2 linked regions of the Arabidopsis thaliana genome follow. The protein of the gene in region 1 interacts with the protein of each later gene in a pairwise test. Each region holds a gene or a part of one and is shown on either strand. Other genes may lie near its edges.

Region 1 (15,320 bases):
AATCTAAAAGTGGTCCATCCTCTCCCAGTTTGTATATTACTGATTCAATTATGTAAATATCATGTGTATCGTAGAGGAACTAAGAAAAAACAGTGGTCCACTCCATCCAGTGTAACGTGTCATTGTGATAGTAGAGGAGAGAAGAGTTTAAAATATTGACTGGAACGCTATTTGTTCTCATGTGGTTTCCTATACCTTTAGCCACAGCAACCTAAATTCATCCTTAATGTACAAACAAATTTCTGAATAGTAGTTGACCTCTGATTTGGTCACAGGTCACCAAAAAGAGAAAGAAATTAGAAATGAATGTTTCCTTTCTAGATAATACATGTTTCATGTGAATCATTTGGATTTTCTGACAAGAAGATATAGAAGATTCCCCCACTTCTTTGTGTTCATTAATCCGACACTCAGTTTTGTTTAAAGTCTCAAACAATTGAATTTTTCTTCGTTCAGTTTACTTTTCTGATAATATAACCTTTAAATCGTCGGAAAAAGAAAAAATTAACCAACTAAAGAAGAAGAAAAACTTTTTTAAAAAAACGAAAAGAGAAAAAGAAGACGAAAAACAAACTTATGAGTAACGTCAATGATTAGTGGTTGTGATCGAAACATCACAAGCCATACCATTAACACGATATACTCGTGTTTCAACAACACGATATACTTGGGTTTTCGTGTTGAATGTCGTGTTTCTTCCAGCTCACTTGTTTCTTTAACACAATATTGTCTTGTTAACAAAAATAAATCAAATCTTCTCTTAACTTTATCTTTTTTTAAACTGGCAAACAAAAATTCAAAATGAAATATTGAACAAACCTATACGAATCTACGATACGCAATTAATAACATCTCCGTCAAATGTTGGTCATAGACGTACTCTTTCTTTTTGCTCTGTATATAGTAAAGTAGATGACAAAGACAACAGAACTATTAAAAAGGAAAAAAAGCAGTGCAGGCTCATACGAATTCAGATACGAAACGCCTCTGTAACGTAAATGATTAATTTGATATGGACGTATCGTTACCTCCCCACACGTGGCCTGAAGGGGATTGATTTGTTATCAATTGTTTTGTTTGACCATCAAAGCTTCGACATTTATTGTTATTTTCAATAGTTAATATAACTTGACTTTTAAAGGTTTATAGAAACTGAATATGTAAAAGTTTGTAAGAGACAGATATTTGTTTAAGAATATATAAGAAGAGTCTAACTCTCTTCCAAATCTCAAGGGTTTTTCTTTTCACTAATCTCTAGAGTTTGGAGCAGATTAATTCCACATTTCCACTACTAAGTGGCTAAGTGCTAACAGAAAATATATTATTTACAAAGATAGGACAATTTTACCTTAATTGTTACGAGACGATTAGTTTTTTATTTATTTATCCCGAGCATATTTTATACCGTATATGTCGATCTATTTTATTAAATAAAGATTAGGGTTTAAATTTAGATTTTATGGTTTGTTAAAAATAATAATATAGATTTATGGTTTAGTTTAATTTTGCTGAACATCCATTAGATAAATTAAAAGCTATTTTGATTCATTCATTTGATAAACGTCTATTTAAATGTCCATAGAAATCTATGATACATGGCTAACTGTGTTTAACCTAATTAATCAGATGTGCCATTATATTAACGAAGAACATGATCTAAATGTTAAGAACGGTATTCTATAACTACATATGATTTGCCCGCTAAGGCTATTTTGGTAACGAAATGGTGGTGTACTGTAGAGGCGCAACGTTCGAATGGTACATGAACATGGGACAAGAATGCTAAATTTTAGATAAATATTTGAAAAATTAGTCTGAGATTCGTTTCATGATAGATCCTGATTACCAAATAAAATCTTCATTTTGTTAATTATTAAACAATCACACAGTCGATATTAAATTACATTACAAATCTATCTATATATACATTTTTGCAGCCATTTTAGCAAATAAATCTTAGAGTTGAACTTATTTACAATCCAATGCCATTAGCATTAAATCTTTTTTTCAAAATAATTAATTTTACTTTAAATTCTTAATTTAAATTGTCAATTACATTATCAATAAAATTTAATCCAGACAAACTTCACATCAATCCCTTAAAATTAGCATAAACGTATTTTGTTAACAATATTTTAAAATAAAGTTTTTTGTTTAAATAAATATTGTTCTTACTAAACGTTTTTTGTTTAAATAAACAAATCATGTATTTGAACTTATTTACAATGTCATGCTACTGACATTAATTATTTAGGCATGAAAATATTTAATTAAAGATTTAAATCTTCTAAATTCTTGCTTTTAGAGTTATTATATCATTATTTAAAGAGGCAAAAAATATTAATTTTTTAAATATTATTATATATATATTTAAACTTCATAAAACATTATTAATATTTAAATTTATAAAAAGTTTATTATATCAAAAAAATTAACATCATTATATAACATATAGAGTTTAAAAAATCTCAAAACAATTTCGTCCTATTTTGTGATTCGAAATTTTAAGAATGAACATATATTAACCAATAGGCGAAAAATGTGTGGGTTCAATGTCCCGTAACGACTAAAATATTTTGACAATGATTCATAAAGATATTATAAATAAGATCAATATTAATAAAATAAATAGTTTTTATTGTAGACGGGTTTGGCAGGACGTTACTTAGTAACAATTGCAAACTATAAAATAATTTACAAATTTTTATATATATTAATTGTTAAAAATGAGTTGTCGGGTTAAAATCTAGTTATAGACCGAATTTCTTGAGCAGTTTTCATGAAACTCAAAACGAAATTTAACATAATGTGGGACCAATTTCAGGATCACATCTATATATATGTATATATATTCAGGCAAGACATATCGTACAAGTTGAAGTCTCAGTGCCATACAATAATATCAACATCTTCGTAGTCTCTCTAATGGCGTCGCTTCAGTGTTCATTCCATTTTCTGGGCACAAACCCTAAAAAATACAATCCCAGTTCGATCTTCCAAAGCTACTCTCGAACCTCATTCACCAAATTATCCTCTCGTGTCTCTCGCCAGGTTTTTTTTTTTTCGTTTTTTGTTTTCAATCATTTTCAGGTTTCAGCAAAACCACTCTGTTTTTCTTTGTCTTTTACGTCACAGTATTTGAAACCCTCTTTGTGAAACAGAGGTTCCTACGCTGTACACTGTCTATGAACGGATGTGAGGCTGACCACAAAGCACCACTTGGCACGGTAGAAACAAGGACTCTATCAACGGTGCCATCTCCGGCAGCCGCGACGGAGAGGCTGATAACCGCCGTCTCTGACCTCAAATCTCAACCGCCTCCATTCTCCTCCGGCATTGTCCGATTACAGGTACGTAAATTCGTAATAATTTCTTCATTAGTTTGTGGCTTTGTGCCATTCCAAAAATTCGTAAGGCAAACAATGATTAAAAAACAAATGAGCTTAAGCCACGTGGAGCTCTTACATTGGTATGTGTGATATTGTTCCATTTCTTGCTGTCGGACTGTCGGTTGCATAAACATAGATTGACTCAACTTTATTGTTAGATTTAAAATCTATCTACCCAAATAGTATGGGGGTCAGGTTTGAACTATTTTGCATCATTGGTTCAATATTTTTGTATTTCTGCAAATAAATAAATTATTGTTAGATTTTTAGAAAAATATCAAGCAAGTAGTCTCTTTTTATGAATGTTATCAATACTATTATAATGGATTTATCTGTTTATGAAAATAATTAAGGTAAATAGTTATTTCATGATGTAAGAAAGTAAGATTTTAATTTCATGGGTTTATCTGGAAGAAAAATATTTGACTTTTAAGATAAAAGAAAATAAATAGTGGTAAAAAATCAAAAATCGAAACATTAGCGACTTATATTCTCTCCCGCGCAAAAATAAAAATAAAGCCCTATTTTCATAGACGTTAATCTTGTGATTGAAGGTACCAATTGAGCAGAAAATTGGAGCAATCGATTGGCTTCATGCACAGAACGAAATTCTTCCTCGCAGTTTCTTTTCCCGTCGTAGCGATTCTGGCCGTCCAGATCTTCTTCAAGACTTCTCAAGTGACAATGGATCATCTGATCATAATCCAGTTAGTGTCGCTGGAATCGGGTCTGCTGTCTTTTTCCGCGATCTCGACCCGTTTTCTCATGATGACTGGAGATCAATCCGAAGGTACCAGCACCGAAAGTTTTTTATCTTCATGAAGTTTGATTCTTTCTGCTGTTTATCTCTTCGCTTCTTATGTTCATTTCCCCTGTTTTGAAGGTTCTTGTCTTCAAAGTCTCCTCTGATTCGTGCCTATGGAGGTCTTCGATTTGATCCTACAGGGAAGATCGCTGTGGAATGGGAACATTTTGGCTCGTTTTACTTTACAGTGCCCCAGGTACTAGAATTTGATTTCTTTAAGATAATTGTTGTTACCATGGACTAATAATGACTTTGTTTTGTTGATATACACATAGGTCGAGTTTGATGAGTTTGGAGGAAGCTCAATGCTGGCTGCAACTGTTGCTTGGGACAATGAGCTCTCATGGACGCTTGAAAATGCTATTGAAGCACTTCAGGAAACTATGCTTCAGGTTAGCCATTTTCTAAATCTGCTCCTTAACTTATTAGTTACTTGATATAATCAAAGCTAAAACTGTCTGGTTTTATCAGGTTTCTTCTGTTATAATGAGATTACGGCGAGAATCTTTAGGAGTTATTGTTGTTAGCAAGAACCATGTTCCAAGTGAAGGAGCCTATTACCCTGCTGTGAATAATGCTCTAGAGATTATCAAGGACAAACATTCACCCCTAAGCAAGGTACTTAAGGAACCTTATCTTCCTTTTTTGTATACATTTTATGGGTTTCAGTGACGAAATTTTGGTTTGGGGATCAGGTTGTGCTTGCACGCAGTAGCAGAATCATTACGGATACCGACATTGATCCTATCGCTTGGTTAGCACGGTTGCAGGTGTCTTTTTCTTCCTCACTCATTTGTTAGACTAATCACTTTCTTCCGGTTATATCAATTTTGAAGTGTTGAAATCTGAGTCTAATTATTAATATGACAGTGTGAAGGACAAGACGCGTACCAATTCTGTCTTCAACCACCCGGTGCACCAGCATTCATAGGGAACACGGTAGGTTACTTATTCTTCTTACGTGGTAGATAAGTTGTTGCCAAACTCTGTTTTTTAGCTGCTATGATAATGTTGACATACATCTTAATGGAGCAGCCTGAGAGACTCTTCCACAGAAAACATCTAGGTGTCTGCAGTGAGGCTTTGGCTGCAACAAGGCCTAGAGGTGATTCAAAGGTTCGTGAAATGGAGATAGAGCGCGACTTACTAACCAGGTCAACTGTTTGTTTTGTGCTTTGTACACTTACAAGATGCATGTTTAGAAACTTCCAGATATGTGTACTGATATTATTTGCAAATACTACTGTAGTCCCAAAGACGATCTTGAGTTTTCTATTGTCCGAGAGAATATAAGAGAAAAACTTAAAGTAAGTTCAATATTTTTACTCATCAACCTCAATTCCTGGCTTCAAGTAGAAGAACATTTATTTAGCAGAATCTTTGTGAATGCTAAAACATATTTATCTTGAATGTCTTTTTTATATATAACCTTCTGATTTTATTTTTCTTGTAATCCTCTCTTCTGCTTTGCAGACCATATGTGACAGGGTAGTAGTTAAACCCCATAAATCAGTGAGAAAGCTTGCAAGAGTACAGCATCTATATTCTCAATTGGCAGGACAGCTAAAAAGAGAAGATGATGAGGTTACATGACATTTCTTACATGATTTTAACCTCTCATGATCATCTAAATCACTTGACTTGTTCTGCAGGTTATCTAAAATAGACAGATATGAGTTTCCTTTAACTTATAATCTGTTGTAGTCTCATACTACAGTCCTCTTTCCATTGAGTGAAAAAAGCTACGTTTTCTCTCTTACCTCAAAATATGTTTGTCTATGTTTCAGTTTAACATCTTAACTGCTTTGCATCCGACGCCAGCTGTTTGCGGATGTCCAGTAGAAGAAGCTAGGCTTTTGATTAAACAAATTGGTATAACATAATTTGATTCCGATGCTTTTCAAATTTTCTTTCACTGTCTTTTCGGAAAAAAGAATTTCTCTGTAGAAGTAGCTATCTACTAATATATGCTTATACCGAGATACATATTCTTCTTCTTTTTCCAGAGTCATTTGATAGAGGAATGTATGCTGGACCTATTGGGTTCTTTGGTGGTGGGGAGAGTGAATTTTCTGTAGGCATACGATCTGCTTTAGTCGAAAAGGTGACAACTCCCCTTAGTGTAGCAAACGGGTCATTCACTGTTAAATACAGTGCATTTATCTTGGTCCTTTTGTGTCTCCCAGGGTCTTGGAGCATTGATCTATGCAGGAACAGGAATCGTTTCAGGAAGCAATCCTTCCTCGGAGTGGAACGAGCTTGAGCTTAAGATCTCTCAGGTGAAAAAGTCTTCAAGAATGTTGTTAAACACTCTCACTGCAATTTCCATGTCTTTTATGAAATCTCAAATCAGATTGATATGTGTTTTCTGCAGTTCACTAAGTCACTTGAACATGAGTCAGCTTTGCAACCAATCAACTAAAGAAAGGCGGGAATTGAGATTGTTTAATAACTAAATTGGTTTGTATCATTTGTGTGTTTGGTCATTGGTGTGTATATTGTAAATAGAAGCAACACTAATGATGATGCTGCATGGTACACTTTAAATCTTCTTTTAGCTACTTGTTGTCCAATTTCTGACCAGACTAGAAGCCTTTGAAGCGACTATGACTCTATGAGGTCCATCAAATGAAACACTTACGCACGTTGTGATCCAAAGCTGACGTATATTTCCACCTTCACGAAAAAATGACAAATTATTTAGGAATATTATGTGACAATAACAAAACATAATAATTAAGGCTCCAAAAACAAATCTTTATTACTACTTATTAACGAACGAACGTAATTAGATTACCGATAGTGTGCTAATGGGGTTTCAGAAAAGTGATGGGTGGTTTCTTTTGGACTAATCCAATCAAAAGGGATTTGATTTTTTTGGGTTATATCATTTAGGAAAAGATACTTTTTTGTTCCCTTGATAATCAAAACTGTCTTCTCCATCACTCATATTCTCTTCTAATTGTTCTCACAATCATATCTCACTATAAAATTGAAATGCTTTATTTCTGTAGCAATAATTTCAAAGACAACTTTCTATTTATTATGAAATTAATATAAATATTCTTTTACCCATCACTTGAAAAAGAAGAAGCAAATGTACATCTTTTTTAGATAAGACTTTTAGTTAACATATACTCTTGTTCTCCAAATTAAATCGTAATTCGGTGGGTTTCTATTTTTGATAGTATAGAAAATTTCGAAATAAATGTCTAATTCATTCATTCATTACTTATATAGATATATTTTAAAAAACCTAGAAATGTACATGAACTATAATCGGTAAAATAAAAAAGAATATGGATATTAGTTGACCGCCAATAATACAATTTACCCCTCTTGAGGGTCATATTTATCAAAACGAATCAACATGATTTTTGAATGCAATGGTCGTCTCCTTATTTCTCTTTTGCATGCTTAAATGTTTCTTTTACATAATTAAAGTTTTGAGAAGAAAAAAAGTAACGGTAGCGAGAAGATTCCTTTTGCATTTTTGAAAGTTTATTGCATTCAACTAAAAAGCCAATTGTCAACATTACAGAAATATGTTCGTATTGGCACAATATATGATTCTTAAACAACTCTTCTTAGCTTTCTTCTTCTTCTTTTATCATTTTTTCATATTGTTTAAGAATACCTACTAGATGAAAAGTAAAAGGATAGATTCGTTGTCGATATTACAGATATTAAAGATGAACTCTTGACTGCTACTTAATGTTTAAATAACGAGTTAAGAATATTACATAAGTCATGGCAACAAATAAACTAATAAGTTATCCGAACGTTAGTGTGTTAGTTGACAAATCAAAACAATGAAGTGAGGAATACCAACTCCAGTCCTCTCCTTTCGATAAAGCCGACTCTTTTTACTCAAATCTATATTCTAATCCAACACTTTTGTTTTGGTATAATCTCCAAATAGCTTTTTTGGTCTCATAATGAGATCCTTCTCACTTCCCACTAATATATATATACACACACACATATACTAACACATTACACACACTTAGAGAAAGCAGAGCAGAGCATAGAGAAAAACATAACAATGGAGGTTGAGAAGACAGAGAAGAACATTGCAGAGGATGATGAGTCTAAGATCATCTACAGAGGATGGAAAGTCATGCCCTTCATCATTGGTATTTATTCATCCATATTCTTTCTTATATATATATATATATATTTTTTTTTTTTGATAAATACTTTTGTTTGCTTACAAGTATAAAGTCATCATGTTTTTTTCATCAGTTTCTTGTTCGTTTCAAAATTATGATTTTTGTTTACTTACACTCATAATCTTGAAACGAACAAAAAACTGATGGAAAAACATGAGGACTTTATACTTGTAAATAAATAAAAATATTTATTAGAAATAAATAAACAAAAATATAAGAATATTTATTAATTTCGTGCTCTTTTAGTATGTTTTTATTATTATTTATGAAACATTTGATTCATTGACAAAAAAAACATTTGATTCATAAAATTAAAACATAGGACTTTTTTTATGGATCTGTTTCTTTCATGTTTTTTATTTTTATTTATTATAACATTTTTGGTCTTGAAACGAACAAGAAACTGATAGAGAAAACAGAGGATTTTATGAACAGAGTAACTTAATGCTCTGTTTCTTAATTTGGTAGGAAATGAGACATTTGAAAAATTGGGGATTGTTGGAAGTTCATCGAATCTGGTTATATACTTAACGACGGTTTTCAACATGAAGAGCATCACGGCTGCGAAAGTCGTCAACATCTACGGTGGCACAAGCAACTTTGGCACCATCGTCGCTGCTTTCCTCTGTGACTCCTACTTTGGCCGCTACAAGACCCTATCTTTCGCCATGATCGCTTGCTTTCTCGTAAATTCTAAAACCTATTCATCACAATTTTCAGTTTGAAAAAAAACTAGCTGATTATGTCTGAAAGTTTCAATCGTTTGTTGTGTTTGATGCAAAGGGTTCGGTGGCAATGGATCTAACGGCTGTGATTCATCCCCTGCATCCAGCTCAATGCGCTAAGGAAATAGGAAGCGTGTGCAATGGGCCATCCATCGGACAAATCATGTTTCTCGCCGGAGCAATGGTTTTGCTGGTGATCGGAGCCGGTGGGATTAGGCCATGCAATCTTCCATTTGGTGCTGATCAGTTCGATCCGAAGACAAAAGAAGGGAAACGAGGGATTGAGAGTTTCTTCAATTGGTATTTCTTCACCTTCACGTTTGCTCAGATGGTGTCGTTAACCCTCATCGTCTATGTTCAGTCAAACGTGAGCTGGAGCATTGGTTTAGCCATCCCAGCTATTCTAATGCTACTTGGTTGCATCATATTCTTCGCTGGTTCTAAGCTCTATGTCAAGGTTAAAGCTAGTGGCAGTCCCATTCACAGCATAACTCGTGTCATTGTTGTCGCGATCAAGAAGAGGCGGTTAAAGCCCGTTGGGCCTAACGAGCTTTACAACTACATCGCCAGTGATTTCAAGAACTCGAAATTGGGCCATACAGAGCAGTTCAGGTACTAATAACCTCACTACTTCTCTTAGTTTCTTGTGGAACAACTTAGAAACATTTTAGGGTTTTCTTAATTTGCAGGTTTCTTGACAAATCGGCAATCCAAACACAAGACGACAAGCTGAACAAAGATGGGTCGCCGGTGGATGCATGGAAACTCTGCAGTATGCAACAAGTGGAGGAAGTTAAATGCGTGATCCGGGTGCTTCCGGTTTGGCTCTCGGCCGCCTTATTCTACCTAGCTTACATTCAACAAACAACCTACACAATCTTTCAGTCTCTTCAATCCGATAGACGCCTTGGTCCAGGAAGTTTCCAGATCCCGGCCGGTTCTTATACCGTCTTCCTAATGCTTGGAATGACGATATTCATACCTATCTATGACCGCGTCCTTGTACCTTTCCTTAGAAAGTATACAGGCAGAGACGGCGGTATCACACAACTGCAGAGAGTTGGAGCAGGACTGTTTCTATGCATCACAAGTATGATGGTGTCTGCAATTGTAGAACAATACAGAAGAAAGGTAGCTCTCACAAAACCGACGCTAGGGTTGGCCCCAAGAAAAGGCGCAATCTCTTCGATGTCCGGTATGTGGTTGATTCCTCAGCTAGTGCTAATGGGTATCGCGGACGCCCTCGCTGGAGTTGGACAAATGGAGTTTTACTACAAACAGTTTCCAGAGAACATGCGAAGTTTTGCTGGTTCTCTGTATTATTGTGGAATCGGATTGGCGAGTTACCTCAGCACCTTTTTGTTATCGGCGGTACACGATACCACAGAGGGATTTTCAGGAGGAAGTTGGCTTCCGGAAGATTTAAACAAGGGAAGATTGGAGTATTTCTACTTCTTGGTTGCTGGTATGATGACTCTAAACTTGGCCTATTTCTTGTTGGTCTCACATTGGTACCGTTACAAAGATGTTGTGGCCAAGGACAAGGACATGGACAAGACTTCTGCTGAGTTTGATAAGGTGTCAGTGTAATAAAGATCTTTCCTTTGACTCTTTGGTTTAGGGGCTTTGAGACAATAAAAATACAACCTTTGAACAAAACATTACATACAAAATACAATGTAAAATGTTTATATATGTAAAGAACCATAGCTTCCGTAAAATTCCCATCCCTCAAAGAACAAGCCCGGAAAATTCCCAATTTATGAAATGGGGAAAAAACGGAGCATTGCTCTGTTTTTGGTGATAACGAATAAATTTAAACAGGAACAGTTTGTCCAGTGAGAGCGTCATGGAGATGCAATGACCCATCTTTCATCAAGTTAATGCTTAAGCTTTTGAACCTCTCTCTTGAATATTGTCTCGATGCCTTTCTCCAGTCAGTTCCAGCTTTCATCATCGTCACAAACTCATCATAGTTTATACGTCCGTCCTGTAAAAAGCAAACAAGCCCAACAATCCGACTCAGAAGCAGAGGGATATATCTTTTCTCTTGACAAGCTTTATTGTTAGGCCTTAAAGGAGGATTTTTTTGGATATTTGAAAGAACCTTGTCAGTGTCAACTTCACGCATGATGTCGCTTAGAACACTGGCGTCTGGCTCGCCTAACTCATCCGCTAAAGCTTCCCGTAGCTCATCAAGTTCAATGTATGTACTTCCATCTTTGTCGAAAAACATAAAAGCTAGTTTGAAAAGTTCATCATTCTCTATCTTCTGCAAGTGAATTATCACAGCTACAAACTCTCCATAATCCAGAAACCCATTTCCATCGACATCCGCCTGCGCGTCAAAGCCATACAGATTTCAGCTATGTTTATCAGAGAAGAACACTGAATTGGTCTTTAATCAGATAAGGGCAATGCTTAAATTACCACTTCCATCAACATTTTGATCTCTGGTTCACCAAGTTGTGAACCGACCTTCTGAAGCCCAGCTTTGAGTTCCGGGTAAGTTATTTTACCATCCTTGTCATCATCCATCAGTGAGAACATGTTCTTTATCACTTCAACCTCTTGAATAGACAAGTGCTCCGCAATTACCTGGAAGCATTAACAGGGATGATAATGATCAAAACCAAATATAGACACACACAACAGACTCTCTACAAACTTCAGCAGAAAAGTAAAAGGCAAAAAAAAAACACTTACACGAAGAACTTTCTTTTTGAATCTGTTCATCATAGAGAACTGCTTCAACCTAGATCTGACTATATCTCCTAAAGGAACATTGGGAGCTTTCTTTGCATTCTGTATCCATGGGTGAGCTGAAAGGTGAGAAAAAGAAAATCATTAGTAATAGAGTGGATTAAGGTAACTACGACCATTAAAGAAAACAGAAACACAAGAACTTCACCTAACACTTGCTGAGCAGTTAACCGCTTAGTCGGATCAGGATCCAACATCTGCTTCACAAGGCTCTTGGCACTCTCTGATATCTGAGGCCAAGGGTCTCTCTTAAAATCAAGAACTCCCCGCAAGATCGCAAGAGCAACACCTTGTTCAGTCTCTGTCAATAGAAACCACAATCTTATCGGTTTATCTAATCAACATAGGTGAACAATTACACAGCTGCTAAAATAATTAAAAGAAGAAGCTAACCAGCCCAAAACGGAGGAACACCACAGAGCAAGATATAGATAATAACTCCGGCACTCCACACATCAACCCCTGGTCCATAATCTCTCTTCAACACTTCTGGAGCCATATAATACGGACTTCCTACAATCTCTGTAAACTTATCTCCTACAATAAAGAAAACGTTATTTACCCAATCTCAGATATCTACACAAACTTCCATAAACATGAAGATATGGCAGGATAGTCTAAAAATAGAACCATCCACTGAGTTAAGAAACACTAAAAATTGAATCTTTACCAGGTTTGAAGAACACAGACAAGCCAAAATCAATAGCCTTTAGTGGAGAATTCTCCTTTTTATTAGCAAACAAGAAATTCTCAGGTTTCAAATCTCGATGCATAACTCCATTAGAGTGACACATCATCACAACCTCAGCAATCGTTCTCGCAACAGCTGCAGCAGCACGCTCCGTGTAATGTCCTCTAGCAACAATCCGATCAAAAAGCTCACCTCCTTCACAAAGCTCCATAACCAGATGCACGTTCTCGTTATCCTCATAACTAGCCTTAAGCTTAACTACGTTTGGATGCTCAGGTAAAGTAGACATAATCGCTACCTCACGACGAACGTCTTCGATATCGACAGCTGTTCGAAGCTTTCGCTTTGAAATCGATTTGCAAGCTAAAGCTTCGTGGGTTTCACGATCAGTACAGAGGTAAGTGATTCCGAATTCGCCTCGACCTAATTCACGACCTAAGATGTATTTGTCGCTGATCTGAGTTTGATTGCTCATAGGGATTACATCTTTGAGAACACGTATTGGAGCTGGGGATCTGGTGAAATCTCCGGCGAATGGGTTTAATTTCCGATCTCGATTGGGTTTTTTCGGCTTTGAAGATGGTTTTGATTCTTTTGAGTCTGGCCTTACACAGGCGTTACAGTTACCCATGGCTGAGTTAAGAAACTCAGCAAACTCAGAGAAAGGAGATCAAGGAAGAAGAAGAAGAAGGATTATAGAAGAAAAAAGCTTATCTCTTTAGTTCATATGGACGCCGGAAGTGACGGTGGCGGTGATTTTCCGGCGAATTGGAGAGTTGGGTTGGGAGGGGGAGAGAAAACGCGGGTTCAGGTGAGGAAAAGTCGGACCTTTCGAAATTTCGGATTTTGTTTGATTCAATTAAAAAAAAGGGAGTCTTTGATTTTTGTGTATAGTAATATACAGTATTAGTTTATGATGCATTTAATAACTTGAGAGATTTTTCTAACCATTGCACCATCTTCTTAGAAACTTGTAATTTTTTTTCAATTTTTTTTTTCTTCTAGATGGATTTTTTGGTCCAAGCTTATGACTAATAGAATTCACTTCTTTATTTTTTGGTTGAACTCAGTGGATTAACTCTTGCATTTTTCAGTGGTTTTATAAACAAACAAACAAAATCATTTGTATTTTCAGTTATTATTATTATAAGTTTATATTGATCATATTATAGTTCTATCAAGATGTACAAATGATAACCGACAACAATGATTTTAGAAAATTCAAACTCTTAGATTTAACAGCATCAGAAAATTTAAAGGTTGGATTTCACCAAATTAAAACCTAATTAAAAGAGCATTTATTGAAAAGAAATATAGGCAGACTTCAAAACATTACGGCCAAACGTATAATTAACAGTTTAGCGAGGAGGACAATGTTAGCCGTTGGTGTGAATTAATGGTAATGAAATGAAGGGATAAGATTGAAGTTCGAGGAAGAGAGTTTTGTTGAAGTTGTTGACCAGCGTGGTGGATACGGTGAGACTCTGAGATTGTAAGACAAAACAATAAGTGCGACGTTGATCCCAAACTATTTTTTAAAAATTATTTTCTTCTCTAGAGATATACAATGTACGTAAAATAGAAGAAAAATCATAATAATATTTTATTTATAGTTTTGAATATATTTTTTTTGGAGCAATTTTTTGTTTCTAATTTGCATTATTTTGAAGTCTAGTTCTTTTCTGTTTTTGTATGTGTACAATCATAATCTAGATGCTAGGATATGAAGAAATTCCCGACAGAAAAAAAGAAAGGATAGGAAAATATTGTGTGTATAGACTTCCTCAATTATGAGCAATACTTATTGTGTTGTAGAAAATAAAGCAAAGTTATATAGGTAAATAAAATTCGAAAAGAAGAAGCAAAGTACGAAATATTCCATTAATGGAAGTCAACAACAAATTTAAAAACACTAAAAATCAATGAAAACTATGTTTCTTTGGCTTAGAAAGTAGAAACCGCAAGTCGTCCTATCCTGACTTCGCTACAAGTTCAATTGTCAATGTCATACTCGTTTTCTTTATCTTGGTTTTACATTACATTACCTTGGGGATTTGGATACCATTCAATCCATATATAAGAAAATGTGTGTTGCGCGTCTATATTCCAAAAGACCTAATTAATATATAGTAGTAAGAATTTTCACAAAGGATTAGAGATTGAAACTTTATTTTGTTCAATGAAAATGGTCTTTGATGATGGATGTACTACCATGAATAAAATTTTAGACTTTAATTTTAACAAAATGAAATGTGTGATTTAATGTCAACCACACAGAGCTTAAGTGCTTTTGTTTCAAGGGACATGTGGTGGATTAAGTATGCATATATCATTGCATACGATGAAATATTTTAAAGCAAACTACATAGTTTTTATATGGATAATTTTATATATGTATTTTTTTCAATGATTCGATCAAATTAATATTTGGTAGGTCAGAAAAAAGCGGTTTCAATTTATTGCCCAACTAGAGACCTTCCACCCTCCTATCTATGAACCTACTAAAAACACCAACAACTTATTCGTGGAAAACTTTATCGGTTTTTTGTTCATTCAAGTTTCAAAATGGATATTTATACAACATAATCTCGAATTTAGATTATTTTAAATCCTCTGATTAATCTTCCGAAGAAGAAAGAAACGATGGACATGCTTTTGTCGTCGGCAACTTTAAAGCTGGCATAACTTAAAATTTAAAACAGTAAAAGTGACAATTATATTTGGAAAGAGTGTGTCTTTTTGCTGAAGAGAATGATTATGTTTGGGAATTGTGAT
Region 2 (18,197 bases), 5.5 Mb from region 1:
GATCCAAGTTTGCAGACACTGGTCCAACAAGACTCAGGGCTTGCAACTTCCCCTACTCGACATCCTGTCACAGCACATCAAGTCATGTATGAACTTCGTGTGTATTCTCTGGAAAAAGAATCGTAAGTGCTACTTCCAATTGTTTTTCTTGTTACCTTTTTCAAAATTTTACACAGCACAAAACAAAAAAAAACTCAAGAGAAAATGTCTTATGTATGTCTGCAGATTTGGTTCGGTACTTGTGTCCCGGGCAATTAGGGCTGCACATTGCTTAACCTCTATCCAGGTTAGCCACAATTTGGTTGGATTAAATAAATTTGTTAGACATAAGTCTCTGTTGCAACTTTTTTCTAGACATAACATTGTTCAAGTACTTCATAACTGCAAAGTTCCTTGAGATTTCACCCCTAATAGTAAATAGAGTTGTTCACTTGTATTTTTGTGATGAAATACTTTATAATTAAAAATTTCCGTGCAGTTCTCACCAACCTCCGAGCACATTCTGCTTGCATATGGTCGTCGTCATGGTTCTCTTTTGAAGAGCATTGTGAGTGATGGAGAAACAACATCACATTTTTTCACAGTTTTGGAGGTAACGTCTATGCTCCAGTAGTTATGAATTTCTAGACCAGCAGAACAATGTTTAGCAGATGCCATTTTATATCATTAACTATATACACTTGGAATATCATACAAGAGTTTAGACTGTGTTTTTCCCTTTCTATTCCTTCAGATTTACAGAGTTTCAGATATGGAACTGGTGAGAGTACTTCCAAGCTCAGAGGATGAAGTTAATGTTGCTTGCTTTCATCCTTCTCCTGGGGGAGGTCTTGTCTATGGAACAAAGGTAATTAATCCTAAATCGTAATGTGAAAAACTTCTCGGCGCTAAAATGTTGACTTGTATTGATATTTGCTCAATATTTATCTCAGGAGGGAAAACTAAGGATCTTCCGGTACAACACAGCTGCTGCGTCCAATCTCACTGCACCAAATAGCTCTCCCGATGAGAACTTGGCCGAGGTAGAATTATTAACAAGGTTGATCTTCTTGAAATAATAATAAAAGATGAATGAAAGCAAACGAATCTTTTTGAACTAACATATGAATGTTTCGATTTCCATCCTTGGAAAAATTTTGAACCACAGGTGCAGACCTATGCGTTAGAATGCTAGACAGGGAAGAATTTGGGTCTCAACCATTCTATATACACACTCTCATAGACAGATCTTGCATTGCGGGACTATTTACCTTCCTTTGTTTCTTTTCGGGTTATTCTTCCCGTTCTGTTTGCTCGCGGTGCTTTTAGTTGTCCTACCCGCTGTGCGATTCCAAACCTGAGAAGCTTTTTTCCATTCACGAGCTGGTGGTATCTTTTTCTTATTTTCTTATATACTGTTGAGGGCCGTAGGTTGGGATGGCCTATCTTCCATTTGCAAACCCTTTTCTTTAAAAAAACAAAAAAGAAATGAAGCAGGTTTCTGAGTTTGTTGTTTAAAATGACTTCAGAAAAATGTAAAAAAAAAAGATGTTTTTTTGTTTGATAAATTGATGTTGTAGTTTGTAACTAAGATTGTAACCACGTTTTTTCCTCTGTAAGATCGTTTTTTTCCCCTTGGTTTTTTACTTTCGTTACCTAGAAAAGTTTGGACGTGGCGGAGCCCTAGCCATAACTCAGAACAGGTTTGTGTCTTTGAACGGTAACAGTAATAGATTACGACAACCAACAACAAAAAGAAGCTGCAAAAAATTATCATCAACTATTCTCTTTCTAACTCAATTCTTTAGTTTGGTGGAGTCCATTTTCCAGCGGTAAAGTCCTTGTAGAATTTGGACCTCTTTGATACGATGTAAAAGACTGTAACCAACCAAAAAACAAGAAGAGAGGCGTTAATGACGCAAACGAAGTCTGTAGCAACTGTTAGAAAACAGACGCCAATGTGATCATACAAACAAACCTGGAATCTCAGGGATGACAAACTTAGGTTCTTTCAACACGTCATGCAATGTTCTTCTCTCGTTCACTTTAACCATACCCGAAGAACCTTTCACTTTCACCCAAATTCAAGGAATATATGTTATATAGAATGATTGGCAATGCAAAATGCATATCATATCACAAGTTTAGGATCCTTACGGTAGGAGGGTGTTTTGGTTGCGCTTGTGTCCTCTTCTCCGGTAGTTTCAGCTTGAGAACCTTTTGTACCTTCTAAAAGATACTGGAGAACTCTACTCCTAGGCAATGGAGTTCCTGAACTCGCCTAGAGAAAAGAAAGATCCTGATGTTACTACCAGTGCTTCATATAACACACACTTTTCATTGAAGATGTTCGACTAAATCATCAGTGTTATAAAAAAAGAAATGATTCTCTTGCTAGTGGATAAAACGAAAGCCATATGTAAGAATTTGAGAGGCTGTGGACATTAAAAACAGAATGGCTAAGCTGAAACATTTTGACTGAAAATACTTTTGTAAGATAGCGCAGGAAGACCTGAACAAGAATTTGTTAATACATGAATGATGTGTGGGTGAAGTAGGAGTGATTACCTCGTAGTAAAGCTCAATAACATCACGTGAGTATTCGTTGTTTTTATCCCATGGCAGCGGCGGGCTGTCCTCTGAAAACATGTTTAGAGCGCTAAGGAGGGACATAAAGCGCATTGAACAGTCTATAGACGTTATCGAAATGAGATGCAAGAATAAGAAACGAAAGGAAACTGGCAAAAGGATATCATATCAAGATGAGTTGCAAACATGTCTGTTTCACAAAAGTCCTCAACAAAGTCACTTGTCATGGCCTCAGCGTAAAGAAGCAGGACAGGCCAATGAAGGATGTTGTTTTTATCTAACATTGGCTTCTTCAAACCAGTGAGTTCTCGGTACATTGCTTTGCCAATCTTCACTCCTCTGTTCTCGATCGCAGAGAGACAAGCCTGTAGTGAAACCAAGGAAAACTGAGTCAGCTAAAATGCTCAAAGTGAAATGACTTGTAATGTATTAAAGCTTGATATTCATGTAAATCTAACCTTGGCTTCCACCACCGCCTGTGAGGCTTGAGCCTCATGTTGTTCTTTCTCTTGCTTCTTTGAATTCACAAGTTTTAAAAGCTTCTTCATGTCCTCATTACTCGGATCATTCTCGATTCCCTTTTCACAATAAGACTTTGCCTCGTTCAGCAAATCCAATGACATGGATGCCTTAGCAGCTCGATACACCGCCTTTTGAAGCATTGAAACCCATCAGAGAAACCAACCAAAACGGTACAACGAAATCAAAGAGAAAGTTTAGCTTACTACCTTAACGTTATGAGGAGATAACCTCATTGATTCCTCAGCATCGGTGAGGGCACGCCGATAGTTGCCTAAGAGTAGATTAACATGGGATCGATTCGAGAACAAAATAGAGGTCTCTGAATCACTTAGAACTCCCTGACTAATGGCTTTCGTGTAACAATCAATCGCCTCAGAGTAATGCTTTTTCCCTTTCCTTACACATTCATTGCCCTCTTCCTGTGTTTAAACAGCAAAGGAATGAAATCGATACTACATCAAACATCAAAATCGAACGAGCCAGAGAAGAGAGAGGTACTTTGAATTCGATGGCGGTGGATTCTTTGAGAGCAGAAATAGCTTCAAGATCAGCCTTTTCCTTCTCCGTGGTCGGCGTCGCTCCAGCGTCCATCCATAGCGCCATTGATTCGCAGCAGAAAGATAGAAAGCAAATAGTGAAATATTCGATTAACCTAGACGACGACAGAAGCAGGAGAAGAAGAAGAAGAAGAAGCTTCGAGTTCTTTGGAGGGAGAGGGACAGATACCGGTTATTTCCTCTCGTTAACCGAATACCGGTTTAATACTATTGTCCCGGTTTGATCTCAATAGCTATCATGAGCCTCGATTGTGTGTATATGAGAGAGTATTATGGGCCCAAATTTAACACACATGAGATTTTTTTTTTTAAAGTGAAATTTCTGAGTCGAATAATAAATTCCAGTGACAGTGAGACTGAGACACCGGAGTCTAAAGGAAAGGTGAGAGCGGGGGACAATGTAAGAAAAAGGTCGGTGAGAAATAAAACGACAAGTGATAGAACTTTTCTTAGTACCATAGTTGAATTTAAGGTGGTGGGCCATTCAATGGGCCTAACTTGGCCCGTACAATCTGTAACATCATTTAGTATTGAATTCACATTCACCAATCACCAATCACCTTACCAAAATAGTGCGATAGGAATTAAATTGTGTTTGGCTTGGTATTTGTTAAATCATCAATAGACAATAATAGTTTGATAAGACTTACAACAACTGAATATTTATAACTCGCAATTAGCCCTGTTAACATTCCAGGCAGTGCCTGCGTTTAAGCAACAATACAGAGGCTTCTTTTAGGTCATATGTCAACACCTAAAACAAATAGATAACATGTGAGAGAAATGTGTTAGGTATATTACACTATGATTAGTTCTTTTGTTAAAGGACCACGCACCACTATCATTATCCACGTTACACACGGTTTGAACTTAAAGAAGATCGCATGTTCCACTATCTTTTTTGTTGTTGTTTGTCCTCCTCAATTGAACAATTTGCATACGTAAGCGACATTTGGTTCATATACAGTGTTCATGAACTGAGCAACATATATACTGTTTTTTTTTCATCTAAGAAAAGCTACCTTTTTGAAATTTGTATTTATGCAAACGAAAGATAATGGAAAGTGAGCTGGCATGGACCGAAAGTGGTACAAAAAAAGTTTGAACAAAGCCATTACTATACCAAACAAACGCAAATGACAAAAACTACGCAGCATTAACAACTATATTACAATTGTCATTATTTATGTATAACATTATAATACACTATCAAGGCTTCTAGATTGTTACATCATCTCCTTAATTCTTCCAAGTTACATCATCATATATAGTTGAAATTAATTTCTATTATTCGTGAGAATATAAGTTGATTGGAAGAAGGAAGATTCAGTCTATATATATATTTGAAATACTATATGTGGAAGAACGTAGAATTCCCTATTGCGAACTAGAAATGTGTTGACGTACCGTGTATAACCAAATGTAATATATTAATCAAAGGACATATTAACGTACACATTTTTTACTGCATAGTCAGCAATAATTGACATTTAATCATACATGTATTAGAAAATGGTATGCCACGTAAGACGCATTACCTTGCATGAATGGCATGTGTAGTAAGTCGTCATCCGCATATTGTCCAAACAAACAAACAAATAAACACATACGGGCAAGAATTAAAAAAAAATCATCTTTTGTTGGTCTTATATAGTTGCTTATCTGAATAGTCTCACACTCTCTCACTTGAGAGCAAGAGTGCATGTAATTATACTATAGTATTAGTACATACGAACAATTTGGTGGTGAGTATAAGTTTGGATCTTTGGACTATATATAAAGTCATTAATTTCATACTCTTACGCTATTCTTTTATATCTTTTAATCAAGTTGACACATTTGTCTCATTGTTTTGGTGCAGAGATGATAGATTGGTTTTCTTTCTTTTATATATATGTATTGAAACGATAACGTGTATGTCTCCACTTTCTACAAATGAATTTTAAAAAGCTCAATGTGTATACATAGGAATTGATAAACCAGTGATTATATAGTATTTTGTAATATACTGACACCTATACAGTTTTATTTTAGTAATATTTGTAGCCTTGTAGACAATACATAATACTCATCACGTCACGTGTAGAATATTCCATGGACCGTATAAGGTTCCTCCTCCATTGTATCCCACAATTAATTAGACACAGCTTAGATTAGCAAAATGGTAATTTCTTTCGTTTGAGTTATGATTGGCGATTTCGTATAAAACGAATCGAGAGAATAAAAACGTAAAAGAATCGGAATATGATTCATTGCTTACCATGGTTAAGTTTAATGATAAGTGCTTTTATTGATAACATATATGGTCAAATAATACAATAATTTGATCATAAAGAGTAAAGACAATTGAAAAATGAAATCACCAAAAAAGTCAGATCACATACAGACACATTGACGCATCGACGTCAAGCATCGTGAGCGCACAAAGAGCTTACGGCTTTATTATTAACACACACACTAAGCAAAACAGTAAGTCCACGAGAAAGCATCCAAAAAGCCCAAAGGAACCACCTTTATTTTTTATTTTATTTTAGGCAAAGGAAGCTCCTTTATTAAATTCCCAATCTTCTTCCACTACTTTGCACAATCTTTAATCGATCCAACCAATAAATTTTGCATTTTTTTTCGTTGGCGAATGAAGGATTAGAGAGAAACAGAAGAAATTGTTAATTTTTTTCTTGTTGATTTTAATTAAAGAGAAGAGAGATCTCTCTTCTCGATTGCTCTCAAGAACCCAAGTGACGTCTGGTTTCAGCTGATTTGTTTCTTCTCATTCTCTATCTTCTTCTCTGGGAAATATCGATTTTGATCTATTAAGAGCTGGTGAGAGCCAAAGTTTCCTTTTTGTTTGTTTGTTTGTTTGTTTGTTGTTTGTATTTTTGTATCTCTGTGATCGCTTCTACGTGTTGGGTCATGCAGAGAAACTCATTTTGTTTTGATTTGCAATGTGTCAATTCCACTTTGAAATATAAGATTCATCGCCTCTCTCTCCTTTGTTTTTTTTCTTCTTCTGCAGCTACGAGCTTTGGGATGTGGTGAGATGCTTGTTCTATCTCGAACAATCCGCCGGTTGTTGATTTTAAACAAACTCTCTATCACAAATCTTTCCCGATCATGGATTTTATTGAGATCTCGTTGATCTTTCGAGAGCATTTGCCACTACTGGAACTATGTTCGGTCATCATCAACCTCCTACTCTTTCTTGTCTTTCTATTTGCTGTCTCCGCGAGGCAGATTCTCGTCTGCGTGAGAAGAGGCAGAGATAGGCTCTCTAAGGACGATACGGTTTCAGCTTCTAATCTTAGCTTGGAAAGAGAGGTTAACCATGTTAGTGTTGGGTTTGGGTTTAATCTGTCTTTGCTCTGTTGCTTATATGTGTTAGGCGTCCAAGTTTTGGTGTTAGTATATGATGGGGTTAAGGTTAGAAGAGAAGTCAGTGACTGGTTTGTTCTTTGCTTTCCAGCTTCTCAGAGTTTAGCTTGGTTTGTCCTTAGCTTCTTAGTTCTTCATTTGAAATACAAGTCTTCAGAGAAGCTACCCTTCTTGGTGAGGATATGGTGGTTCCTGGCGTTTTCGATTTGCCTCTGTACTATGTATGTCGATGGAAGAAGGCTAGCCATTGAAGGTTGGAGCAGATGTTCTTCTCATGTTGTCGCCAATTTAGCTGTTACACCTGCTCTTGGGTTTCTCTGCTTTCTGGCCTGGAGAGGCGTTTCTGGTATTCAAGTTACCAGAAGCTCCTCTGATCTTCAAGAGCCTTTGCTTGTTGAAGAAGAGGCAGCTTGTCTTAAAGTTACTCCATATAGTACTGCTGGGCTAGTTAGCCTTATTACGCTTTCATGGTTGGATCCACTTCTCTCGGCTGGTTCAAAAAGACCGCTTGAGCTTAAGGATATACCGCTTCTTGCACCAAGAGATAGAGCCAAATCAAGTTACAAGGTCTTGAAGTCGAATTGGAAGAGATGCAAGTCCGAGAATCCTTCAAAGCCTCCTTCTTTAGCTCGTGCAATTATGAAATCATTTTGGAAAGAAGCTGCTTGCAATGCCGTATTTGCTGGGTTGAATACTCTTGTGTCCTATGTCGGTCCTTACTTGATCAGCTACTTTGTTGATTATCTTGGAGGGAAGGAGATTTTCCCTCATGAAGGATACGTACTCGCTGGGATATTCTTTACGTCCAAGCTTATAGAGACAGTCACCACCCGCCAGTGGTATATGGGTGTTGATATCCTAGGGATGCATGTTAGATCAGCTCTTACAGCAATGGTATACCGAAAAGGTCTCAAACTTTCAAGTATAGCCAAGCAGAACCACACGAGCGGTGAAATTGTAAACTACATGGCAGTCGATGTCCAGCGCATAGGAGATTACTCATGGTATCTTCATGATATTTGGATGCTTCCGATGCAAATAGTTCTTGCTCTTGCAATCCTATATAAAAGCGTGGGCATAGCTGCTGTAGCTACATTGGTTGCTACAATAATCTCGATTCTTGTCACGATTCCACTCGCTAAGGTCCAGGAAGACTATCAAGATAAGTTGATGACTGCGAAAGATGAAAGAATGAGGAAAACCTCAGAGTGTCTTAGGAACATGAGAGTTCTGAAATTGCAGGCATGGGAAGATCGTTATAGAGTGAGATTGGAAGAAATGAGGGAAGAGGAGTATGGTTGGCTTCGCAAAGCCTTATATTCTCAGGCTTTTGTTACTTTTATCTTTTGGAGTTCCCCCATTTTTGTCGCCGCAGTTACATTCGCTACTTCGATATTTCTAGGCACTCAACTTACCGCTGGAGGTGTTCTTTCTGCTCTGGCGACATTCAGAATTCTTCAGGAGCCACTTCGGAACTTTCCTGATCTGGTTTCAATGATGGCTCAGACAAAGGTTTCTCTTGATAGGATTTCTGGGTTCTTGCAGGAGGAAGAACTTCAAGAAGATGCAACTGTTGTTATTCCACGGGGACTTTCGAATATAGCCATAGAGATTAAAGATGGTGTGTTTTGTTGGGACCCTTTTTCTTCAAGGCCGACATTATCTGGGATTCAGATGAAAGTGGAGAAGGGTATGCGTGTGGCTGTCTGTGGCACAGTTGGCTCTGGAAAATCAAGTTTTATCTCTTGCATCCTAGGGGAAATCCCAAAAATCTCTGGCGAAGTAAGTTAATGTTTTGGGGTGTTTGTCTCAATTGCTTCACTATTTTTTCTTTTCTTTTCTTATATTCACTTAGCTATCATTGATCCAACTGCTGATAATTGTTATATAGGTTAGAATATGTGGTACTACTGGTTATGTGTCTCAATCGGCTTGGATTCAGTCTGGTAACATTGAAGAAAACATTCTATTTGGCAGTCCAATGGAGAAAACAAAGTACAAGAATGTGATACAAGCATGTTCCCTAAAGAAAGATATAGAGCTTTTCTCACATGGGGACCAAACTATTATCGGGGAGAGAGGTATAAATCTCAGCGGAGGTCAGAAACAGCGTGTACAACTTGCAAGGGCATTATATCAAGATGCTGACATTTATTTACTAGACGACCCTTTTAGTGCTCTTGATGCACACACTGGCTCTGATTTGTTTAGGGTAAGAAGCTATTCAAGTCATGTTTTCATATTTTGAGTTTGAACGTTTGCGTAACACGGTTATTAATGGCTATACAGGATTATATTCTATCTGCATTGGCTGAGAAAACTGTGGTTTTTGTAACGCATCAAGTTGAGTTTCTCCCTGCAGCTGATCTAATATTGGTAAGAAACTCTTTTTTCTCGGTTTTACTACACATTAATTCTGGCTACTGTTGGTCCTTTTAGAATTGCTAAAGGGTCTCTTTTAGGTGTTTAGCTTACCAGCCTGTGATGAACTTATCTCTATTGTTGCAGAAAGGTAAAATTGTTGAAGGAGTTTCCAAACTGTTTCCGTTATGATAAGCTCTGAAATATTTATTTGTGTTGTTTCAAAGGTTCTGAAGGAAGGCAGGATTATTCAATCGGGTAAATATGATGATCTGCTGCAAGCAGGTACTGATTTTAAGGCCTTAGTGTCTGCCCACCATGAAGCAATCGAGGCAATGGACATCCCAAGTCCCTCCTCAGAAGACTCTGATGAAAATCCTATTCGCGATAGTTTGGTCTTGCATAATCCAAAGTCTGATGTTTTTGAAAATGACATCGAGACTTTGGCAAAGGAAGTACAAGAGGGAGGATCTGCTTCAGATCTAAAGGCAATCAAAGAGAAGAAGAAGAAAGCTAAGCGTTCCCGCAAAAAGCAGCTTGTTCAAGAAGAGGAACGAGTAAAGGGAAAAGTCAGCATGAAGGTGTACTTGTCATACATGGGTGCTGCATATAAAGGGGCTCTGATTCCTCTTATTATACTCGCACAAGCTGCTTTCCAATTTCTTCAGATTGCTAGTAATTGGTGGATGGCTTGGGCAAATCCTCAAACTGAAGGTGACGAATCTAAAGTGGATCCTACTCTGCTTCTCATCGTTTATACGGCTTTAGCTTTCGGGAGCTCTGTGTTCATATTTGTTCGAGCTGCTCTGGTTGCAACTTTTGGTCTTGCAGCTGCACAGAAACTGTTCTTAAATATGCTCAGAAGTGTGTTCCGAGCGCCAATGTCATTCTTTGATTCCACTCCTGCAGGAAGAATTTTGAATCGGGTATGTAGATGTGGTATTATAACCAAATTCCACAGTTTCTGTGTTACTTTTCTGATTTTGGGGATTTTATTGATGTGCAGGTTTCTATTGATCAAAGTGTTGTAGATCTTGACATTCCTTTTAGACTCGGTGGGTTTGCTTCAACAACAATACAACTCTGTGGCATTGTCGCTGTAATGACCAATGTTACCTGGCAAGTTTTCCTTCTTGTTGTTCCGGTAGCTGTTGCTTGCTTTTGGATGCAGGTAAATCTATTTTCGATTTTTCCTCTGAATAACTGTGAAAGATTGTTTTCGTAATTTAGTTTATATTGAAATAAAATGCAGAAATATTACATGGCTTCTTCAAGAGAATTGGTTCGGATAGTTAGTATCCAGAAGTCTCCAATAATTCATCTTTTTGGAGAATCAATTGCTGGTGCTGCCACAATAAGAGGATTTGGCCAGGAAAAAAGATTTATCAAAAGGAATCTTTATCTTCTAGATTGTTTTGTTCGACCTTTCTTCTGCAGTATCGCTGCTATCGAATGGCTTTGTTTACGCATGGAATTACTTTCCACACTTGTATTTGCTTTCTGTATGGTTTTACTCGTCAGTTTTCCACATGGAACCATTGATCCAAGTAAGTATCTCTAGTTACTATAACAAAAAAAGCATCAACGAGCAGCCGGTTTTTCTAATATTGATGTTCCTGTTGTAATAGGCATGGCAGGTCTTGCTGTGACATATGGACTTAACTTGAATGGACGTCTATCACGATGGATACTTAGCTTTTGTAAGCTTGAAAACAAAATAATCTCAATCGAAAGGATTTATCAGTACAGTCAGATTGTAGGAGAGGCCCCAGCAATTATAGAAGATTTCCGCCCGCCTTCCTCGTGGCCTGCAACGGGAACAATTGAGCTAGTTGATGTTAAGGTACTATTCAAAAATACTATTTTTATTACCTCTCTGCACTTCCTTTCCCTGCTTTCTTATTGCTTCGTTCTTTTCGAAGGTTCGTTATGCTGAGAATCTTCCAACAGTACTCCATGGGGTGAGCTGTGTGTTTCCGGGTGGAAAAAAGATTGGGATTGTTGGGCGAACGGGAAGCGGAAAGTCGACTTTGATTCAAGCTTTGTTTCGATTGATTGAGCCAACTGCTGGAAAAATTACTATTGACAACATTGACATTTCTCAAATTGGTCTTCATGATCTTCGTAGTCGCCTTGGGATTATACCTCAAGATCCTACATTATTTGAAGGAACAATCCGAGCAAATCTTGACCCACTTGAAGAACATTCAGATGATAAAATCTGGGAGGTATCTATAAATATGTTGTTTGATACTCTTATCTTGTTTATGTTTTAGACACTAAACTCTGAGATTTGGAGTTTGATTCTAGAGATTTACCCAACTTTGCTGACAGGCGCTTGATAAATCCCAGCTTGGAGACGTTGTTAGAGGAAAAGACCTAAAACTTGACTCTCCAGGTAACTATTTACATCAAAAGTCCTCTCTTTTTCCCGGGTCTTTTTCGCTTCTTTCTACTGATTTTTTTGGCTCAAAACCGAGTAGTACTGGAAAATGGAGATAACTGGAGTGTAGGGCAGAGACAGCTTGTGTCACTTGGACGAGCATTACTGAAACAAGCCAAAATACTTGTTCTTGATGAAGCAACAGCATCGGTTGACACAGCAACAGACAATCTGATCCAGAAGATAATCAGAACAGAGTTTGAAGACTGCACGGTCTGCACCATTGCTCACCGGATACCAACTGTTATAGACAGTGACCTAGTTTTGGTTCTCAGCGACGGTTAGTCTCATACAAATTAAAAACATGGATCTTTCTTCATATTACTCGTCGTCTTTTGGGAGAATTCAATGTTTATGTTTATGGTTTGTTGCAGGTAGAGTAGCAGAGTTTGATACTCCTGCACGGCTATTAGAAGACAAATCATCGATGTTCTTGAAATTGGTAACAGAATACTCCTCAAGATCTACTGGAATCCCTGAATTATGATCCTCCATGTTAAAAATTCAGTTTAGGGGGTTTCTTTTCTCAAGAGGATATAAAAGAACTGATATGTGACAAAAGCTTAAGGTCTAAAGTAAGAGAGAGTTTTCCACAGGGTTTAAGAAAAGAAAAAGCATGAAAGGATGCCAAAATCTCCGCGCTTAAAAAACTTTGGGTTTAAATCTCTTCTGTCGAACATTGGGAGAAACTTTTTTTGTATGGAACAGTTAGTTTCTTTGGTTTTCATGTTTATCAATAAACTGCAAAAACAAACAAAGATTAGAGTAGAAACTACTAATCATTCGTCATCATCCCTCAAGTGTGATCTGTATTGGGCTTATTATAAGTGTAATCAGTACTGGGCTTATAAGTTGTACAGAGCCCAATATAACAATATCTGTACGACGTCGTTTTGTTGTGACGTAGTACCCGATGACAAAACGAGGCGTGTTGAGCGTGCGTGTATAAATGCACGTAGTGAACGAACACTAACCACGCTGCTGCATTTAATTCCTTTCTCAACGGTCGTATTTTCCTATTCAAGGCTTTAACTAAGTTTAATAGTATGTTTTTAAAAAAATACATATATTTGGCCAATGGTTGATTATTAAGTTATTGTTAAATGAATTTTCTTTGGCTTGGTAAAACTTCAATGGAAACCAAATAAATTTCAAAATCTTTTGTTGCTGAAAAAGGCTACACAAACTACTATACGCAATAAAACCTAACCATAACATCTCGTGAACAAGGAAAAAAAAAGGAAAAACAGAGACACAGAGACAAGGCAGACAAAAAAGCCTTACAAGTGAAAAACCTTAAACAGCTTCAGTTAATATAGTTCATGTCTTAGAAAAAAATAAAAGAGAAGAAGCTCCTACCTCTGCAACATACAAAGGATACTCGTGAGGCAGAGCTCTTACTCTTCACGAGCTTCATCATCTTCTTCCTTAGACTCCAAATCCCAGGTTTTGAATTCTCTTCATTCTTCTTTAAATACCCTATTCTTCTTCTTCTCTAAAACCATGCACTTCAACTACACTAAACCAACTCCTTTTTTTAACTCTCTCCAATGGAACCCAAACCTTTCTTTCTCTGCATTATCTTTCTTCTATTTTGTTCTTCTTCGTCAGAGATCCTGCAGAAGCAGACTTACATTGTTCAGCTTCATCCTAATAGCGAAACCGCTAAAACCTTTGCCTCAAAGTTTGATTGGCATCTTTCTTTTCTCCAAGAAGCGGTTTTAGGTGTTGAAGAAGAAGAGGAAGAGCCTTCTTCTCGACTTCTCTACTCCTATGGCTCTGCGATTGAAGGATTTGCTGCTCAGTTGACTGAATCAGAAGCCGAGATACTGAGATATTCACCTGAAGTTGTTGCAGTGAGACCTGACCATGTTCTTCAGGTTCAAACCACTTACTCTTACAAGTTCTTGGGACTCGACGGTTTTGGAAACTCCGGTGTATGGTCTAAATCTCGGTTTGGTCAAGGCACAATTATCGGCGTGCTTGATACTGGAGTTTGGCCTGAAAGTCCTAGCTTTGACGATACCGGAATGCCTTCGATTCCACGGAAATGGAAAGGGATTTGCCAAGAAGGAGAAAGTTTCAGTTCTTCGAGCTGTAACCGGAAGCTAATCGGTGCTAGATTCTTCATCAGAGGACACCGTGTCGCTAATTCACCAGAGGAATCACCAAACATGCCTCGTGAATACATTTCCGCAAGAGATTCAACGGGACACGGGACTCACACCGCCTCAACAGTTGGTGGATCCTCTGTTTCGATGGCGAATGTTCTTGGCAATGGAGCTGGTGTGGCTCGTGGGATGGCTCCTGGAGCTCACATTGCAGTCTATAAAGTCTGTTGGTTCAATGGTTGTTACAGCTCTGACATTCTAGCAGCTATAGATGTAGCGATTCAAGATAAAGTCGATGTTCTTTCGCTTTCCCTTGGCGGTTTCCCTATTCCTTTGTATGATGACACAATCGCCATTGGAACATTCCGAGCCATGGAACGCGGTATATCTGTAATCTGTGCAGCTGGTAACAACGGTCCAATCGAAAGCTCTGTTGCAAACACAGCTCCTTGGGTCTCAACCATTGGCGCAGGCACGCTTGATCGAAGATTTCCCGCTGTGGTCAGATTAGCCAACGGAAAGCTTCTCTATGGAGAGTCATTGTATCCGGGAAAAGGTATAAAGAATGCCGGGAGAGAGGTTGAGGTGATTTACGTCACAGGAGGAGATAAAGGAAGTGAGTTCTGTTTGAGAGGGTCACTTCCAAGAGAAGAAATCCGAGGCAAAATGGTGATTTGTGATCGCGGAGTCAATGGAAGATCGGAGAAAGGAGAAGCGGTTAAAGAAGCTGGAGGAGTTGCAATGATCTTAGCCAATACAGAGATCAACCAAGAAGAAGATTCTATTGACGTTCATCTCTTACCAGCTACATTGATTGGTTACACTGAGTCAGTCCTTCTGAAGGCTTATGTTAATGCCACGGTGAAACCAAAGGCGCGGATAATTTTTGGTGGTACGGTGATTGGGAGGTCACGAGCACCGGAGGTGGCTCAGTTTTCAGCTCGAGGACCGAGTTTAGCCAATCCTTCGATACTAAAACCGGATATGATTGCTCCGGGAGTCAATATCATTGCGGCTTGGCCTCAAAATCTAGGACCAACCGGACTTCCTTATGATTCAAGAAGAGTTAACTTCACTGTAATGTCAGGAACTTCAATGTCTTGTCCACATGTTAGCGGAATCACTGCTCTTATCCGGTCTGCATACCCGAACTGGTCTCCAGCTGCAATCAAATCCGCATTGATGACAACAGCGGATTTGTACGATCGTCAAGGGAAAGCGATAAAGGATGGTAACAAACCAGCCGGTGTGTTTGCGATTGGAGCAGGGCATGTGAATCCGCAAAAGGCGATAAACCCGGGATTGGTTTACAACATTCAACCAGTGGATTACATAACTTACCTCTGCACTCTTGGATTCACAAGATCAGATATTTTAGCAATCACTCATAAGAACGTGAGCTGCAATGGAATATTGCGGAAAAACCCGGGTTTTAGTCTCAATTACCCGTCGATAGCCGTGATTTTCAAACGTGGCAAGACTACGGAGATGATCACAAGGCGTGTCACTAACGTTGGGAGTCCTAACTCGATATACTCAGTGAATGTCAAGGCTCCAGAGGGGATCAAAGTTATTGTCAATCCTAAGAGACTTGTGTTCAAACACGTGGATCAGACGCTGAGCTATAGAGTATGGTTTGTATTGAAGAAGAAAAACAGAGGAGGGAAGGTGGCTAGCTTTGCACAAGGGCAGTTGACTTGGGTCAACTCTCATAATCTGATGCAGCGAGTTAGAAGTCCAATCTCTGTAACCTTGAAGACTAACTGAGCCAATGAAGGAAAACGTTTTTCATTCTGTTTCAAGACTGTGTTAGGTTTATTAGGTTTTTATGCTAAGAAAACCTCGTGAAGCTGATTGATTGTTGTTATTGTACGCACAAGAGCTGTATTTCATTTTCCAGGGAATGAAACTACTGGTGATTCTATCATATTACTGTAGCTTGATTTCATCACTAAACCCTAATCCAGATGCATGCCTTTGTTGTTATAGTGGTATATTGGATCAGGCACCAATAGAGTGAAAAACCCTAAATATACAAAGATCTTTAAAGACAAGGTTAAGCTGTTGTTTGATATTCACAAACGACCACAAGACATATGTACACTCATGTATAAACATATGCACATGTATATATGTGAATGTGATATATGAGTTACAGACCAAAGAGATGTAAACTGTTTTTGCTATATAGGACTCTCTACTTACCTACTCCAGCTCCAATTGATGTCTTCATGATTCTCAGTCTTGTCACAGACCCGAGGAACATCCTGAGAAGATGAAAAGATCGTTTTCATTGAAATGGATGTGCCACATTACAAATACAGATGATGAATGGGAAGTTATAAGGGTAGTCACTTACTGCCAAGGAACATCTCCTACAAGCATCCAATCTCCGTCTTTATCTTGATATGTTATGATATATTCCGATGAGCCATCCAGTAATTTCGAAGTACATGTTTCCTTAATTGTCTTGTATCCTTGTGTGTTGGATCCTACAAATCGATCAATCAAAACCAGTCAATTTCAAGAGACACAGAATTTGAAAAACAGAATCACATGGAATCTCATGAAACAGAATTAGTAACTGACTTGTTACAGGAGAAGGAATCTGGAAAAACATTAGATCCAAAGTTTTCTCTAAGGCTGCATAAGAATCCAGAGCATTGAGATCAACCTTCCTTCCAATTATAACTCCGTCCATTGTCACCTTCACAAGCATAGAAGTCCTGGACGATTTGATAAAGCAAGCATCATCGTTCTTAGCAGCAACCACTACACTTTTTGTAGTCTCCTTTTGAATGCCAGAACTCAAGCCGCCTTCCGTAGCTAAAGACTTTGCTTGATTGACCAAACTGTTGATTCTGTAAGTCCGTAGAGGCGGCCAACCTACAGCAACTTGTCTGCTCCATTACCAAAAGATATTAAATCAAAAGACGAACAAGTATAAACCAATATGATTCAAAAGTTTAACTAAACATTTCAGGGAACACTCTATTTGATTCAATCCTGTGATTCATTCATTCTCAAAGTTTAAGGTCTAAAAGCTCTATCCTCTAAGTTGCTTTGATTCTGTAACAATAAGCAATCTGAGACCAATCATTCATATAGGTTATAATATAAAGTCTCGAAGATGAATTTTTTACCTGGTTGCGTTTGAGGCGGCAGCCGGAGAAGAATCAGCAGAGCGTTTGGTCCCACTTTCCCTGGTCAGAGAAGAAGACGAGGAAGACAAAGACGATCGAACCTTCCGACGACCAATGCTAAGACCCAAAGCTAGGTCGAGCTCTGTCTCTGACACTGACTCGTCGGGGCAAGATGAATCCTCCGACGAATGTGCGGCGTTTTCGTCTTCTTCAGCTGGTAGTCCGATCATCACCGACCCACTTGACGAACAAACTTCTTGCAAACCATTCATTATCCCAAATTGCCAAACGAATACACAAAGCAAGAACACTAAAACCCTTGATTCAAATCCAATTATCGATCAAGTTTGAAGAAACCCATTAACCAAGCAAACCAAAAAAAAGGTTTCAACTTTCAACACCTCTACGATTCTGAATTTCGAGACAGAAAAAAAAAAAAAACTTGAGGTCACGCACGGATCCACAGAACTGAAATTGAGAACTAAACGAGGTTTTAATCTTGATTCGAGGGCGACTTCGATTCTCGGATCAAAAACAAGGAATTTTTCTTAAAGAGAGAGAGAATGAAATTGGAGGAACGAAAAATCGGAAACGGTACACGAATGTGTGCGTTGCGTTTGGTGGAGGTTTGTTCGTCTATATAACTTTATTATTTTAATTAAATACATGATGGGACCCACTTGTATACACTTCTAACGACAAGTTTTACGTTAATCCTACGCTAATTGTGTAATTAATCTCTTGCGCAATCAAAGCTTCATCTTCCTTTACAAGTTACACAGTTAGGGCTCCGATGGTAATCTCACCACATCTGTTTCCCAACAGTGAGAATTTCAACATCTTTCATCGCCATACCAATTGTTCTTCTCCTTTGGTCCTGTAGGACCTTCCTCGCCGGATAATTCCACCGGAAGTTTTCTAAGCACTGTGGCAAGCGAAACCCTAACCGTCCTCGGAAATCGATTCACCAATCTCTCTATCTCCTCTCTTGAATCGTACACAACCTTTGGTCCCCATTCTCTCATGTACTGCAACCACGGCGGTTCTGCCAACACACTGTTTCCGCTGAGATACTCCGCTGCAATGATCTCGTACCGTGAGCTCGAATCTACCAAGAGTT

The links.
Region 2: the proteins of NRT1.9 (region 1) and ABCC5 interact in a protein complementation assay, tested with the Arabidopsis thaliana proteins (one large-scale study listed by BioGRID).

What each region holds. Positions count from the first base shown.
Region 1 is NC_003070.9:6,512,561-6,527,880, forward strand, and holds NRT1.9 (Major facilitator superfamily protein), read left to right. Parts: upstream 1-8,160; 5' UTR 8,161-8,239; coding exon 8,240-8,330; intron 8,331-8,380; exon of another isoform or gene 8,381-8,564; intron 8,565-8,834; coding exon 8,835-9,052; intron 9,053-9,149; coding exon 9,150-9,703; intron 9,704-9,780; coding exon 9,781-10,681; 3' UTR 10,682-10,808; downstream 10,809-15,320. Other genes in the region: ICS2 (isochorismate synthase 2), read left to right, coding at 2,926-3,051, 3,162-3,350, 3,944-4,179, 4,273-4,390, 4,470-4,586, 4,666-4,812, 4,890-4,964, 5,065-5,133 and 7 more; AT1G18871 (uncharacterized protein), read right to left, coding at 6,749-6,925; CDPK1 (calcium-dependent protein kinase 1), read right to left, coding at 10,908-11,081, 11,199-11,429, 11,522-11,689, 11,798-11,913, 12,003-12,155, 12,248-12,391, 12,525-13,176. UniProt on the Arabidopsis thaliana protein: Low-affinity nitrate transporter facilitating nitrate loading into root phloem. Not involved in dipeptides transport, but has a weak glucosinolate transport activity.
Region 2 is NC_003070.9:1,058,961-1,077,157, reverse strand, and holds ABCC5 (multidrug resistance-associated protein 5), read left to right. Parts: upstream 1-6,077; 5' UTR 6,078-6,470; intron 6,471-6,663; 5' UTR 6,664-6,761; coding exon 6,762-8,801; intron 8,802-8,910; coding exon 8,911-9,231; intron 9,232-9,308; coding exon 9,309-9,395; intron 9,396-9,607; coding exon 9,608-10,306; intron 10,307-10,386; coding exon 10,387-10,551; intron 10,552-10,632; coding exon 10,633-10,927; intron 10,928-11,008; coding exon 11,009-11,223; intron 11,224-11,302; coding exon 11,303-11,608; intron 11,609-11,714; coding exon 11,715-11,778; intron 11,779-11,863; coding exon 11,864-12,103; intron 12,104-12,197; coding exon 12,198-12,310; 3' UTR 12,311-12,894; downstream 12,895-18,197. Other genes in the region: AT1G04140 (Transducin family protein / WD-40 repeat family protein), read left to right, coding at 1-122, 226-286, 479-592, 734-847, 933-1,039, 1,148-1,166; TPR2 (Tetratricopeptide repeat (TPR)-like superfamily protein), read right to left, coding at 1,784-1,857, 1,958-2,050, 2,137-2,260, 2,548-2,628, 2,733-2,933, 3,027-3,218, 3,297-3,509, 3,589-3,693; SDD1 (Subtilase family protein), read left to right, coding at 13,374-15,701; IAA10 (indoleacetic acid-induced protein 10), read right to left, coding at 16,132-16,201, 16,294-16,426, 16,524-16,834, 17,078-17,349; AT1G04090 (vacuolar sorting-associated protein (DUF946)), read right to left, coding at 17,911-18,197. UniProt on the Arabidopsis thaliana protein: Pump for glutathione S-conjugates. Involved in regulation of K(+) and Na(+) cell content.